Ovis aries: one gene and its partner. The protein of the gene in region 1 purifies or fractionates together with the protein of each later gene. This does not show direct contact. Links are inferred from orthologs where the notes say so. Each region holds a gene or a part of one and is shown on either strand. Other genes may lie near its edges.

The links. Proteins that work in one complex are often made in the same cells at the same time.
Region 2: the proteins of APOB (region 1) and VCP purify together in Homo sapiens (affinity purification with western blotting, with the first as the bait; 3 studies listed by BioGRID). This does not show direct contact. The link is inferred for Ovis aries from reciprocal best matches to the Homo sapiens genes APOB and VCP.

The regions. Positions count from the first base shown.
Region 1 is NC_056056.1:28,831,144-28,839,096, forward strand, and holds part of APOB (apolipoprotein B-100), read right to left. Parts: intron 5,995-7,953; coding exon 5,841-5,994; intron 4,840-5,840; coding exon 4,684-4,839; intron 4,003-4,683; coding exon 3,878-4,002; intron 3,186-3,877; coding exon 3,100-3,185; intron 2,126-3,099; coding exon 1,906-2,125; intron 1,181-1,905; coding exon 953-1,180; intron 733-952; coding exon 615-732; intron 494-614; coding exon 347-493; intron 1-346. UniProt on the Homo sapiens protein: Apolipoprotein B is a major protein constituent of chylomicrons (apo B-48), LDL (apo B-100) and VLDL (apo B-100). Apo B-100 functions as a recognition signal for the cellular binding and internalization of LDL particles by the apoB/E receptor.
Region 2 is NC_056055.1:53,404,487-53,412,439, reverse strand, and holds part of VCP (transitional endoplasmic reticulum ATPase), read right to left. Parts: intron 7,449-7,953; coding exon 7,306-7,448; intron 6,739-7,305; coding exon 6,608-6,738; intron 5,895-6,607; coding exon 5,763-5,894; intron 4,503-5,762; coding exon 4,400-4,502; intron 3,750-4,399; coding exon 3,616-3,749; intron 3,538-3,615; coding exon 3,402-3,537; intron 3,004-3,401; coding exon 2,891-3,003; intron 2,479-2,890; coding exon 2,314-2,478; intron 2,224-2,313; coding exon 2,101-2,223; intron 1,854-2,100; coding exon 1,641-1,853; intron 1,446-1,640; coding exon 1,137-1,445; intron 870-1,136; coding exon 714-869; intron 1-713. UniProt on the Homo sapiens protein: Necessary for the fragmentation of Golgi stacks during mitosis and for their reassembly after mitosis. Involved in the formation of the transitional endoplasmic reticulum (tER).

The sequences.
Region 1 (7,953 bases):
TTAGTTGGTAAGTCATGTCTGACTCTCTTGTAACCCCATTGACTGTACCTTGCTAGGCTCCTCTGAAAATGGGATTTTCCAGAAAAGAAAGGGTGCAGTGGGTTGCCATTTCCGTTTCCAGGGGACCTTTCCCACCCAGGGATCAAACCTGTGTCTCCTACATTGGCAGGAATATTCTTTAGCACTGAGCCATCTGGAAGCCCCAGGCAGTCAATAGGTGTATTGAAATTTGCAATTAAAGAGCCGTAGAATAAAGTCAGTAGAATGGTGAGATTTAGAATCTCATTCCAAATCTTTGTCAGTCTGAATCAACTCGTCATTTTCGGCCCTCTTCTGTGGCCCTTACCTCATCACTAAGCTCCATTTTCCGCAGGGCCTGGATGGCAGCCTTCTGAATCACCAGGGATGGCTGTTCACTTCTGATACATTTCAGGACTGAAGATGTAAGTTTTGGGGTTAGTTGCTCCATGGTTTTACCAATATTTCCTATGACCTACATTGAAAATAAACAAGAGAGAATCAGGGCTCAGAAGGTGCAGTGAGGGGCAGACAGAAAAAGTGTGTCTGAAATGATGCCTATTATACAAAACCAACAAACAAAAAACTGAAAATACCCTCAGAATCAGGTAGGTGAGATCTTCGTTCCCAGTGCAGTCATTGCCAATCTGTTCTGACAGGTAATCAGCAATTTCCAGCAGGTCCTGTGTCCACGTAGGGTTTGTCTTATGATAGCTACAGAAGAAGAGTTAGGATTCAGCAAGCATAGCCAGGCTTATCTTAAAATATACACTGATGTTCGCTGATCTCTCATTTTAAGTCATTACTCTCAAAATTGACCATTAGACAAACGAAAGGGTAAGCATCAGAATTTGCAAGTGGAGGGAGGGTACAAACAACACTGACATGCGGGGTCTTCCTTTGCTCCTACGAGGAGAACCAGTGGAAAACTCACTTGTTGATCATGTGACTCAGAGCATAAAACGTGAGCCGGCTCTGCTGCACTCTTGCGGTGTTAAAGACCTCCCGCAGCCTCTCGGCCGAGGGCTCTGGGATCAAGGCCACCAGGTAGGTCACAGCATCTATCAGAAGGGGGTTGGCTCTCTCATTTTTCAGCCACTGGAGGATGTGAGTGTAGCACTGGGGCTGTCCACACTGAATCAAGGCTTGTAAAGTGATGGGGCTGAGAAGAAAAGGGCAGAGAAAGAAAGATCACCTTCTAGGCAGCTAAAACCTCCTTGGCCCCCAGGGTTCCCTCTGTCAGGAATTCCCTTATTCAAGATCCAAATCCAACCATCTTCCAAAATCTAACTCAGATCCCTAGAGAATAGAGAAGCCTTCCCCATAAGTAGCATCCACTGGAGAAGCACCATGGAGCAAAGTCCGAAGAAGGACCCCCTGGACTCAACACCCAGAGAGGACTGTTACCCTTTGGTCAGAAGATGGAACATGCCACATAAACACTCGCCCAGTCCCTTCTCTGACCTTCACAGCACTAAGACGGCACTGAAGTAAAGAGAAGTCACGGTATTATTTTGTTTGCTTGAGTTCTCTCTCCTCTAGCCTACAGGCTTCCAGAAAACACAGACTTCTTATCCTCTCTCACTTCCCAGGGTACTCATAGAACAAGGGATTAAAGATACCCATCAAAATGTGGGAAAGATTTCCCTCCTATCTCAACATGTAAATATTTATCTACCTTGAATGCAATGTACGTGTGTGTGTTACCCATGGAACTCGAGACACCTTAGCTGACATTTCTCTATCGAGCAAACATTTACTGACTGACTCAATTGATTAAATGGGTTGAAATTTCAATGGTTCCTGAGATTCTCTGGCTGAGGTCTCAGCCAGCTCCCATGGGCTCATAATCTATGAAGGTTTGAGTTGTGACTGCTCAAGAAATACCTGGACACCTCGATCAGCTTTGGCAAGAGGGAGGTGACTGCCTCACTGCTGAGGCCTCGCAGCTCGGTCACTAGTTTATGGAAGAGGTTGGCTCTCTGGGCATTCTGCTCAGAGACGTGCAGTTTCTGCAGCTCCTGGAGCGTCTTCACAATGGCCTCAGCGTGCTTTGGAGGTGACGTGGACCTGGTGCTCTCAAAGGCAAGACCCACTGCCTCAGTACCTGGAAGGAGGAGCGTGTCAGAGGGATTCCAGCTTACCCCTGCATCTCAGCCTCATCTTTCTTCTAGAAGCTGGAGATCCAGGAGGGGTCAGCAAGAGGAGGGTGGAGAAAAGAAGCCTCTCTTGTTCTGTTCTTAGTGCCTGTTTTGTGACTGGCTCTGGGCTAGGGGTCTGACTTCAGTGTTTCCCTAACTTGCCACTCTCTCCTTGTGATTAGCGTGAATATTGTGCACACCTGCTGTTGCTTCAGTCCTGTCTGACTCTTTGCAACCCCATAGACCGTAGCCTGCCAGGCTCCCTTATCCATGGGATTCTCCAGGCAAGAATACTGGAGTGAGTGCCATGGCCTTCTCCAGGGGATCTTCCCAACCCAGGGATGGAACCTGAGGCTCTTACATCTCCTGCACTGGCAGCCAGGTTCTTTACCACGAGCACCACTTGGGAAGTTCAGCGTTAATATTATTCCTCAATTTAAAGATAAGGGAACTAAGACCCAGAGGTGAGCCACTTACTGTGCCCAAGAGCTTAAAGCACATGCTGCTACCACCTGACATCACAGGTGGCTGAGAATGAGGTAGGGCACACGACTCATTGACATAAAGATAGGTGCAGCGCTGAGGTTGGACTAGAGGTTTCTCTAGTTCCCTTCAGCTCTAAAGACTGATTCCTGACCTTTCCCATTTGCCCTGCCTCGCTCAGGCCTGGCTGTCCAATTTACCAAAGGTGGACTTGGGAGGCCAGTTTCCTATTTCCAATATTATCCTATTTCCAGGGAGTGCTAGGAGAACTCTCCCCTTTCCTTTATCCCATTGCCACCTGACATTCTGAAATGAACAGGCTTTCTCAGTAGAACGGCCCATGGCCAGAAGCCCAGAGCCCAGGACTCTCACAGGGCCCAGCAAGGAGCTAAGCCATGGTAGGTACCTCATGGGCAGGTTTCCCAACCCTGGCAACCATGTGTACATCACACCTTACCTTCCTCAAAGAAGCGGCTGTTGATCTTAGGTGTGTCTTCAAGTTTCAAAGTCTGTGTGACCTGTGCCATCATCCCGTATTTGTTCCTGGCAACACAGGAATGACAGCATGTCGCGGATGGCCAGGCTCCCCGTAGCATCCTCTGCTCTTCATGTTGAATGTCTCCCCTAACTCCGCTCCTCCCCAAATCCTGCTCCCCTTTCAAACCATACTTATTTATATCCAGCTGTCCTTGACCGCCTGTGAACAGCAACAGCTCCTTCTGGTCATGCTGGCTGTCCTTCCATCAGAAGGACCCCTATACCTTATACTCTCCACCATTCCAGAGTGCCCAGAGGGAATGAACTAACACTAAGCTCCAAAATTCTTTTGTGATCTTCCATAGTTCAGTGCCAAGAATATAGATAGCAGTTACTCAGTCAACACTAGTTGACTGACCAGTTTTCAAAATGGATATGTAAGTCTCTAGGCCAATTCCAAAATCTTCTGTAAAGCCTTTCTAACCCGATCAGCTAGTAATGGTTCCAGTTTTTCCTGATCTCGAGCCCTTAAAGCCTGGATCTCAGATATCTTTTGTTGGTTTTGAATTGTTCCTCATGCCTAAGTCTTTCCTACCAAACGGCCTATTAGCTTGAGACAGGAGGATAGAAATACATTCTGCTTTGTACCTTTTCATACCTCCTCCCAGGCACAGCCTAGCTTGCAACAGGGCACCGAGAAGCATTCAGCTCTTAATGGCCCCATAAATAAGGAATCGGGGCTACAGCCAGGGACCTACTTGTAGGAGAAGGGCAGGAATAGGTGTTGCTCATTGCAGATGGCTTCTGACACGTGCTTCCTCCTTGGGTCCAGGGTGTACCGGCAGGACTGGCTGCTGCCAATCAGTGTTGACAAGGGGCGGGTCTGTGAATGGGATCAGGGGAAAAGCATTTTCATCAGGCCCTGGGGCTTGAACCTGAGTCTTCTCCCATGTGTATTTCCCTTCAGGGAAGAAAATGGGGGAACAGGGGTTCTGTACCACTAGATAAACTCAGCGAGAGAAGAGAGCTTCATACTTGACTTTTAGTCAAGGGGATGAAAACCCAAAAGCTGAGTCCAGCTGTAGACTTTTCTTATTTCACTCCAGGAGACTTCTGATCTGTACAAAGTATTTATAACCTGGAATCCAGCACATGGGGCTTCCTAGGTGGCACTAGTAGTAAAGAACCTGCTTGCCAATGAAGGAAACACAATGAAACATGTGTTTGATTGTTCCCTGGATTGGGGAGATCCCCTGGAGAAGGGCATGGCAACCCATGCCAGTATTCTTGCCTGGAGAATCCCATGGACAGAGGAGCCTGGCAGGCTACAGTCCATGGGGTCGCAAAAAGTCGGACACGACTGAAGCGACTTAGCATGCATGCATGCATCTGACATGACTCCCTGTCCTGCCACACACGAACACTTGACACCTGTTCCTACTGCTCCTTATGTTTTCTCTGCCTGGAATTTTTTCTCTGGAATCCCTTCTAGCTCTAACATTCCATAATGTTAATAATGAAGAGGCTGCTGCCAGTGTGCATAGCAATGCTGATGTGAACTTACCATGCCTCTAATCAAAGCGAGTGGGCTAACTCCCGTGCTAATGGGCTGGAAGTGATCACACTTCCTCAGATTTCTTTCAATGGATATTTCTGTTGCCACGTTTCCCTTCTTCGTTTTAACAGTAAAGTCTGTGGAGCAGTTTCCATACACGGTATCCTAGGGCAGCAGGAGATACAACAAGTGTACTCAACACAGGGAACCATCTTTAGGTGCTTGGGGTGGGGCTGGGAAAGAAGCCTGTAAGAAAAGCCTGTAAGAAAGAAGTCTGTAAGAAAAGAAAAGAAAAGAAAAGCTTTCTCCCAGATCTCCCATGGATCTGGGAGAAAGCTTCGTCCTCTTGGACAGAACGTGGGTGCGGTTGGTTCCTGGGCAGCCAGGGTGGGCGTGAGAAAACCTCTTAAGGGTGGTCCTGGCTCTTTGGCATGTACTCCAATCCGTTTTGTGTTGTATATGTCTTGGTTCTCCCCCCAGATCCTGAGACCTCCCGGTGTAGGGGCCCCTGCAGAATGCAGCAGTATCTGCTCCCCGGGGAGTGCAGCACAGAGCTCAGAACGTAGTAAGGGCTCAAAAGTGTTCACGGGACTGAACTAAACTGAACGTGTCCTCAGAGCAAAACCTGGGATTCTTAAAAGAGGCTAGCAAATAGTCAGTTATTTTCTGTGTTTAAAATGCACACAGGGGACTTCGTTGGTGGTCCAGTGGTTAAGACTCTGCTTTCCAATGCAAGGAGCACAGTCCCTGGTCGGGGAACTAAGATCCCACATGTTGCAGAGTGTGGCCAGAAATTACACACACACACACACACACACACACACACACACACACACACACACATACACACACACACACAAAGAGAGGCCTTACTGTGCTCTACCTTGTGGAAACATAACAAAATCAAACAGAGGGTAGGATGGTCAGGACTCCTCAGAAACTGCTGTAAAATTAGATCTAACCTGCTCAGGCTGTGTGGGCTGGGCCCTCAGTGAGCCCAGAGATCAGGGGAGCTCTGAGCAACGTGCTTCACACCAATACAGGGCCTCCTGTGTAACTAGCCACGCAGCTGAGTCAACGATCCAGTTGATGTATAAGTGGAACCCAGCTCCACTATGTGAGGAGGAGTTCAAAGGATCACTGTTATCAGCTTTTTAAATTCTCACCAGAAATAACACTTGCTTAGCCTTTTCCGTTTCTGGGGGAAGCAGGAGGGCAGAGATGATGCCTCTCTTGATGTTGAGGATGTGTTTAGGCTCTTCTTTCTCTGGGTAAAGTAGAACTTGCTTGCCTTCAGGAACAGCCAGCTTGAGGTCATACCTGGTGCAGAGAGAGTATGGTTACCAGGGGTTCCTTCTCCACCGTGAGCCATAGGCTAGGTGGCTTTGCAGCCTCCTTTTTACATCATTTTTTGATAAATATCAGCACATATACATATATTTTCAAAAAAGTATACAAGTATGTGTATGCTTCTGGTATTCTTTCTTTTTCTTTCTTTTCTTTTTTATTTTTTTGCTTTGCTTGGCTCACCCAGTCCCTCTCTCTCCCCATATGAGTCTCTGCAGTCACTCTCCCCACACAACACCCCACTGGGCCTTCCATTCATATCTCCACACTCACATGATCTTATACAGAAGCATGGGAGTGAAAACACCTTCATAGAAATAGTTTGTCATTGCTGGTTTTATCCAAATGGCATGGCATCATGCATACTTGTCTTTATCTTGTTCTTCTCATTTAATTCTACTCCATGAAAATCCTTGAGTCATCTGGCAGCACCCTAACAGATTCTCTTTACAAAGCTGCGTAACAGTCCACTCTGTGGTTATATATTCTTTATTCAGATCGTCTCCTATTTGATGGCATTCATCTTTTCTGTTCCTGGATGTTTAAATTTTTTTCCCCACCAACAACACTGATACAAACATTTTTATGCATCTATCTTCACATGTCACTACTTTTCTTTTTAGCTATGTCAAAGGCTCCAAGTATTTTCCATTATATTTACTAAGTTGACTAAAGGCACTCCTTTGCAGCAGCAATGTGTGAGGGTATGCTTTGCCTCACAGGCTTGCCATCAATAGGTACTATTGCTGTTTAAAGTTTCTGTAGTCTTATGGGTATAAGTGAGTATAACGTGATAAATATCTTGTTGCATTAATTTCATCTCCTGACCACCAGCGAGCTGGAGCTTCTTTCCATACATTTGTTGGACATTCCTTCACTTTCATATGATCTCAGGCTATGGTTAAAGCCTGAGTCAACTCTGATCATAGGGACCTTTCTTTGGGGACTTCCCTAGGGAATTTCAGAGAGCCTGGCACCCCCTGCTCTAGCTGAGTCAGAAGAAAGAAAAAGAGATGAGGGTTGCTTCCCACAGCCCTATATCCTCTCAGAAAATTCCAGACACTGTGACACAGGCTCACAGGAGAGCCTCAAGGTGGCCAAAAGCAGGAGTCTCTTTTGTTTGGAGGAGGGTAAGGACCAAAGCAGACTTCCCTGGTGGCTCAGATGGTAAAGAATCTGCCTGCAATATGGGAGGCCCTGTTCTCTGGGTTGGGAAGATCCCCTGGAGAAGGGAATGGCTACCCATTCTAGTATTCTTGCCCGGAGAATTCCATGGATAGAGGAGCCTGAAGGGCTATAGTCCACGGGGTTTTAAGTCGAACATGACTGAGCAACTAACAGACCAGAGAGCAACTCCTACTCCCTTCCATCACTGCGGCCCCACTCCCTCTGATGCTTCCAAGTCTTGGATGCAATAAGAGGCGCTGGTAAGAGACAGAAGCACCAGGGCCTATTTTGGCTTCCGAGTCTAATGTTTAACAAATTGAAAGACAGGCAGGGAAGGAGTGTCCATTGTTACCAAATCAACAACCCCATGACTGTATTTGCACACACTTAGGACAGTACAAGGGCTTTGCTGATGGTTCAGATGGAAAAGAATCTGCCTGCAATGCAGGCGACACTGCAAACTGTGATCTGGAGATGAGGCAGGGGTGATGTTCAAAAAAATCTAACAACCAGCACACTGTGAACACTGATCAGTCAGAAGCACTGCCAGCTGTAAGCAACAGGAAAGGTCTGGTCAGTGTGCACTGGCAGGACGCTGGCCCTGGAGGGGGACCCGCTCAGGCCGAGGCTCTCCCCGGACCCCCTGAAGCTAGTGTTCTCTGCTGAGCCGAGCCGTGTTTGGTCACAGCAAGTCCTGCCCGGACCCTCTCTGAGGACCACCAGGCACAGTCTTGTTTCATTCTTTAAACATGAATTCACTTGTTT
Region 2 (7,953 bases), on another chromosome or scaffold:
TTATACCTCATAAGCCTATATTTTCAAAAAGAAAATGTCAATGGTTCTCAGTGCTTATCACAACTGAATTATACCTTACTCACAGGCCTCACTTCCAGTAACACACAACCTCTTTAATGTATCCAGGTTCTCCCAATTCCTGCAGTTCTATTCCTCAAGCAGTCTACTTGGGTGACTTACTTCCTTTACCTAACCTCTATTCTCTTTATAGCCCCGGCTCACATCCTATCTCTTCTACCAAGAAGCCACTCAACTGCTGTGACTTTGGATAGTTTATAAGCTTTTATGAGAGGGAGAGAAACATCACTAATGGTAGAGAAAGCCAATCACTTATTTGCTTATTAAGTCAGTTTCCAACACTGTGCCATGCTACAGTGGGAAACAAGTGAGATAACAAAAATCCCTATCTTTATTGAGCCTATATATACATACATATCAAATTCTGCATTTAATTCAGGGGGTCCATGGAACACCAAGAAAAGGTCCATAGATCCTAGCTTCTCAGCCCTGCTCTATTTGTTTCTATGCTCATTTCTTCTCAGCCTTTGTAATTCCCAATTGACATGGTTATCTGAGTACTCAGCATTTTCTCTTCCATGGCATGCTAAACATCTGATAGATGACCTTTCCAAAACTGTACACTCTAGGGCACTGTGGAGATTGTCCCCTGGCTCCCTAAGACAGGCACATCTGGGTTAAGGATGCAGACTCACCATTGCTGATGGGTTGGTCTGCCGCTCCCGTTCTCGCCTGATTTCACTCTCAATCGATTCACGAATGGCCAACTTGCAAGCACGTTGGCAAATCTCGGTCAAATCAGCTCCAGAGAAGCCATTAGTCATTTTAGCCAGGAACTCTAAATCCACATCCTAAAAGAAGCAAGAGAGCTACCTTAGCTTTTAGCCTCTTTTGATACACTGATCTTTGAGCCACCAAAGCACTCCCAATTCCACTTTGTTCCATCCTCTGCCACCAGTTTTATTCCTTATTCTAGATATCTTAATACCCTCAAATCTTCCATCTTTCCTTTTCAACCATAACCCCAGAAATCCCCAATGGAACCTTGTCCAGGAACCAAGGAGCATTCCACACAGCCTGCAAATTCACGACCCTGCAACCCAAGACCTTGCACCTGCCTTGGCAACTGGGGACTTGCGCAGGTTGGCCTTGAGAATGGCAACACGGGACTTCTCGTCGGGAAGTGGGATATAGATGAGCTGATCAAGGCGGCCAGGTCGCAGGATGGCAGGATCAATGATGTCAGGTCGGTTGGTAGCGCCAATGATAAATACATTTTTCTTTGTGGACATGCCATCCATTTCTGTCAGGATCTGGTTGATGACTCGGTCAGCAGCCCCACCACCATCTCCAATGTTGCCACCACGGGCCTTGGCAATCGAATCCAGCTCATCAAAGAACAGTACACAGGGGGCAGCTTGGCGTGCCTGTGAGAGACAGATGGACTTGAGCATTAGCACAACTGGGTCTCTCAGACCTGAGGAAAAATGGAAAATAAAGTGACCTTCACTGCCCTAACTGAGCTGTCAGAATGGGATGGTCTTAACTCTCCCAAAGAACAACCTCTACCCCTAACTTGTTCCCAAGCAAGTGAACTGATAGCCCAGCCACTTGTAGCTCACCTTGTCGAAGATTTCCCTCACGTTGGCCTCAGACTCCCCAAACCACATGGTGAGCAGCTCAGGACCCTTGATGGAGATGAAGTTGGCCTGGCACTCATTAGCAATGGCTTTGGCCAGCAAGGTTTTCCCACAGCCAGGAGGTCCATAGAACAGTACTCCCTTGGAGGGTGTCATGCCAAACTTGAGGAATTTGTCTGGGTGCTCCACAGGATACTAGGAAGAAAAAGAAAGAGGATTCAGGGCTATCTCCCCCAGTTTGAGAGAAACCCAACCTAACAGAAGCATCCTCCCACACCATCTCATGGTGTAAGGTGACAGGATTCTTGGTGCTTCCAACCTCAGAACAGCAGGTTCCTGAATCATGCTCATAATTTCTGCAATCAATGTGTCAACACCCCAATACCACCAGCTCAATGACAATGTGCTGAAGCAGTGACCCACCCTGGACCAAGCACCCTACCTGGACCAGCTCCTGAAGCTCACGTTTGACATCCTCCAAGCCCCCAATGTCCTCCCAGGTCACCTGAGGCACCTCTACCACAGTTTCCCGCAGTGCTGATGGGTTGCTCTGGCTCAGGGCCCACTAAAAAGGGAAGAAAAATTGGGGATGAGAATTGCCAGGCAAGAGATCAAAGTGCATGTGTGTGCACCTGAAATGGAGAGCGGCCCTTACTCGGAAGTCGTCCATAGTAACTGCCAGGGAGTTCATGACCTCAGCATCAATGGTCTCATCTTCTAGGTCAATGAGGTCCATCTTCTTGCGGATGGCTTGCAGAGCAGCCTCAGAGCACAGGGCTGCTAAGTCAGCTCCCACGTGCCCATGAGTCTCATTAGCTACCTGCAGAGAGAAGATCCACTTACTCTCCTGCCTCTGAGACCTAGCTTAGATGTCTCTATTCTGGCTTAGATAACAGAACCCTGCCCTCTTCCTCTGACTCCTATCTCTGGGTCCTCCATTTCCCTAAACTCATACCAGCAGCCCTTTCATTAGCTGGACTCTTAAGTATTCAAGCCTGCACTTGGGGCCTGGAAATAAAGCTGCCCCCAATATTCTGGTTCACCCTAATTCAGTAAACCAAGAAAAATGCCAAACCTAGTTTCCTGGATTCAATCTCAGATCACTTCCCTTTCCCTGCCCAGGAATTAAAATCAATCGCCTCACATCTGAAGCTTCTGTCCCTAGTCAGTTCCCTTCAACTGTCTGGCAACAAGACATCCGAACTTCTGGCCAGCCCTCATCAACATGCCACCTGTTCAAGGTCCACATCATCTGCCAGCTTCATGTTCTTGGTGTGGATCTGAAGAATTTCCAAGCGTCCGGTAGCGTCAGGGATTCCAATATCCACCTCTCTGTCAAAGCGACCTGTGAGATGACGCATAGACAGGGATCATTTCTGGTGCATAGGGAAGAAGGGCCCAGGCCTAAGGCATCCAACCATTCCACTGTGACCAGGAAATGTCTGGTGTTAGCACTGAAAGCCCCATAACTTGGGAAATCCCTCAGTCTCAGGCAAACCAGGATGCGTGGTTACCCTGGACATGACATGGAATAAGGGAAAGAAAGGACTTTACTCTTTGCCTAACTGCAAAGGGCTTCATGAAATCCTCAAAAAAAAAAAAAAGAAAGAAAGAAAAGAAAGAAATCCTCAGGATTAGGTGACTTAGATGAAGGACAGATATGGGATCAACAGGATTAAGCCCACTGGAGACATAATCTCCACATGAGCAAAGACAGCAAGAAGAGTTATTTGGGGTCCTTACCAAATCGCCGTAGGGCTGGGTCAATGCTGTTGGGTCTGTTGGTTGCTGCCATAACAATGACATGTGCTCTTTGCTTTAGGCCATCCATGAGGGTCAACAACTGTGATACAATACGTCGCTCTACCTCCCCATGGGTCTGTCAGGACAAAATGTCTGGTCAGAAGTGAAGTCAGGACCTTTTACAACCCTACTATCCCCTTGGTTAAGTTCCTACTTTCTCTCTTTTGGGAGCAATGGCATCCAACTCATCAATGAAAATGATAGCAGGAGCATTCTTCTCAGCCTCTTCAAAGGCTTTACGAAGGTTGCTCTCAGACTCACCGGCCAACTTGCTCATGATCTCAGGACCTGAAAGCAAATAGAATGCATGCAGTGACAAAAATATATCCTTCCTCAATCTCAAAAAGTATTCGGATATCTTGTCTGTCTAGCTCAGAGACAGGTCCTGGGTGAGAATGTGGTAACATCTGCCTACTTTCTCACAGCCCCTACCAACAATTATCCCAGGGTAGCCACCAAGCCAGGATAAAAGGATGTCAAGGGGCTCAATACACTTATCTCAGTTGAGCTGAAAGGTATGAAGATGGTGACAGCAGATGCTGTGGGACCTCTGGCCAGAGCAGAAGCAGCACCGGTTGGACCCCTACCAGTGAAATATCATTCTCAAAGAGATAGTTGATCTCAGCCAGTCTTCCCCCAAACCCTCTCAAATAAGTAAGCATAGACATTTTGAGTTCTCATTCTAACTTACTCCTCTTTAATGTCTTTAGCCTATTAACGCTCTTTCTCAAGGTGGGATAGATCAAGGGACACCAGAGTAACACACCCTCCCCTTGCTGCTTATCTGTCTGCAATAGACTTTAGAATACAAACACTTAAGTATACATGAGGCTATGTACACAAATGAGCATGTCCATGATTTCTCCTGCTCATGAGACTGGGTCATGCTTAGCTCAAAGTGGAGTCCAGCCAAACACAAAGTGAACCAAGTCTCCTACCATTGATCAAAAAGAAGAAGGCGCCAGTCTCATTTGCCACAGCTCGAGCAATCAAGGTCTTCCCTGTCCCAGGAGGTCCATAGAGCAGGATTCCTCGAGGAGGCTGAGGACCAGTACAGAGGGTTGATTAGGTTCAGATTCTCATCTTCTCCCAACCCCAGGTACCCTAAAATGGCCTAAGAAGGACTCTATTTAAACAGGATGAGAATTAGAGCTCAACTCTGAATGAGCCCTCAAATAGCAGTTGTCAAGCAGTTGTCAGGAAGACACCTTACTTCAGACCATACTCCCTCCTCTTTGCAGCAGAGATAATAATGGCAGAAAGCTGACAATATTTATGAATACACAGGAGACAGACAGCAGAGAAACCACACTAAGAAACTCTTAGTATGAGTGAGTCTGAAGATCCGGGATCTAGGAAAAGTAAGAGGGCATTAGGCCAAGGGCCTGACTTTAAACAGGACTAGCTCAGCCATTTAAGAGTGTTGGCCAGAGGCTCATTCACTGCTATAATCACAGCCCTCCAGGATTTACTATCATGTTGGAATGCCTTCTCCTACCAACAGCCACAAGTTTTCCTCTTTGAAGCTGTCTTTTCTCTGGCTTCATCCACTGGAAGGATATGGAAAAGTACCCCCCAAAAAGATAAATTTATTTACACAATGTACACTAGGGAAAGGGATAGATGCAAACTTCATCTTCAGGGTGTCCTATGATACAGGAACAACTGGGATGTTACATTTTAGACCAGCAGTTCTCAAATATTCTGGACTCAGGATCCTTCACACTGCAAATTTGCTTTACTGTTATCGGGCAACACTTGGCTTCCCTAGTGGCTCAGAGGATAAAGCGTCTGCCTGCAATGCAGGAGACCTGGGTTCGATCCCTGGGTTGGGAAGATTCCCTGGAGAAGGAAATGGGAACCCACTCCAGTATTCTTGCCTGGATAATCCCATGGACAGAGGAGCCTGGCGGGCTACAGTCCACGGGGTCACAAAGAGTTGGACACGACTGAGCGACTTCACACACACACATTCTAGACAAGCTGGCAAACTATGGTGAGACTTTAAATAATAAATATTTAAAACAGACTATTTATATTTATAGGGTCCATTAGATAAAAACAGTCTTTACATTTTGAAGGTTGTAATTAAGAAAAAAAATTCAACAGAGAACTTAACTGACCTACTCTGTTCTAGACCATTAGTAGCTATAACGAATTTAGAGTGTTTTATAAACCTGAATATAGTACTTCCTCTTGAATCCAAGGCAATGATGAAACAGATATGAAAACAGGTCCTAGGATTAGATGGTGAGTAGTTGTTAATCACCACCCTAGGCTAACAGAGCCCAGAATACTCACCTTCACACCAATGGCCTTAAAGAGGGCAGGATGTCTCAGGGGCAACTCCACCATCTCCTTTATCTGAGCTAACTGTTTCCTGCAGCCACCAATGTCATCGTAGCCCACTTCATTCAAGGATTCTTCCTCATCCTGAAGATGGAAGAGAAAAAGAAAAGAAGATAAGAATGCTACTATCAGCAAAAAGAAAAGGAGAAGATAAGAATGCTACTATCAGCAAAAGGTGAATTTCTCTAAAGCTGGTTTACAGAATCTGCTGTATGAGAAGATTCTGCTCTAAGGGGATCATGCCTCAAAAAACAATTCAAAAAACCCCAGGGCAAGAATTTATTTATTTATATGGCCATGCTGTGCAGCTTGCGGGATCTTAGTTCCCCAACAGGGATCAAACCCACACCCTAAGCAGTAAGAGCGCAGAGTCCTAACAACTGAGCTGCCAGGGAATTTCCAATCTTTGCTTTTACTTTATATTTGTTTATTCATTCCATGACAAAGATTTCTAGCATAGCCTTTCCTTATTACATTGTCGTTAGTCTTATTGCGGTGGGCTCCCCTAAGACCTGAAGCTAGAAAGTGTGGGAAACGGGCAGGGATCTAGATGTCATATCAGCATCACTTCTTCAAAAATTATTTCAACCACTAGACTCATTAAGCTCAATCTAGATTTTAAAAATTATTGATATCAGATACTTCTAAAAAATACCTATGTCCAGAAATGAATAGCTATGCTTTCCACCTCTGGGAAGTAGCTTAACCATCAAGCCTGAGGATTCTTTGGAACTACCACACTACTGCCTTGCTGAGCACTCACAAAGTGGGATACTGGGATCAGGAAGAGAACTCACCTCTCGTTTGATAGGCTCCCCTTCACAGTGGATCACTGTGTCTGGCGCAACAATGCAATAAGGACTGGGATCTGTCTCCACTACTTTGAACTCTACGGCACGCATTCCACCCCGGACAAGGAAAATGTCTCCTGTGAGAGCAATCAGCACAAGAGCAGTCAGAGGTATCTATCACCAGACCAAGCTAAGAACTCCCCATCAGAACCTGGGATCTAGAATGCCAAGTTCACTAGATACTGTCCTTTCTCCTTCCCATCCACATCTTATTAAGCATCAGGCAAAAAGAGAAAGCTGAATTGTGAAAAGTCTCTCTGCCCCTTAAAAGACAGTGAATAAAACCTGATGTGCCAGGAAGAAACCCATAAGATTTTTGACTTCTGGGATATAGATAACCCAAGCTTGCACAACCACCACCAGCAGAACTGCGTTAAGTATTAAATACACTGTGGACTGTGATACACCCCAAATTGCCCACCTCTTCCTTCAGAGATACAAGAGAAGATAGCTTACTGTACTGGAGCAAACAGTGGGAATGGGAAAAAGGGAAGTGCAAGGAAGCAGGGAAGGAGAAAGTACACATGTACAGAATGTGTATGTATGCACACATGTATGAGAATAGACAAAGATGGACCAAGGTTTACTTTTGGGTATCCCTACAACAATTGCCCTTGAGTTCAGTCCTTAGAATTATTTCTCACCTTTCCGGATGGGTCGATAAGCTTCCAGGAAGTATGGCTTAAGGTAAACCTCAAAGAGATTGCCAGTGATGCCTTCCACCGTGTCATCGATGGGTAGTACATGGATGCGTTTGCCGTACTTCACATCAGGGCATGGCTGGATGCTGAGGATGACAAGCAGACTCCACATTACCAACCACATCGCAGCCCCAAGCTCTGGGTGTCCAAAAGGGCCTGGCACAGAGAGCTGATGGCGAGCGAAAGAGAAAAGGCAGGGATGGCTTTAGGTGAAGAGAGGCAAGAGGGTAGTGTTGGAGTGAGGGCAAAGCAACAGCCAAGCAGAACAGGTCATATGCAGGGTAGAGTGATAGGGGGAGCCTCTAGAAGAAGCTGCTGAGACTGCCCACTCACAATTGGTGAGGCAAAAGAAAGACCCACACATCTGGAATCCCCACGAAGACACAGAAGGGAAGGTCTTCAATGAGACATATCCAAGGATGACCCATTCTGGTTACTACTGGTAACCCAACACTACAAAAGGGGACCTTAGTCTGACAAGTGTCAGGGTCAGAGAAATACATGTGAAAAAATCATCTCAGTCAGGTGGTCAGAGCACCTTGAGAAAGTGACTAAGCACTTCCAGGAAGAAGGCTCCATAAAACCTAGAAT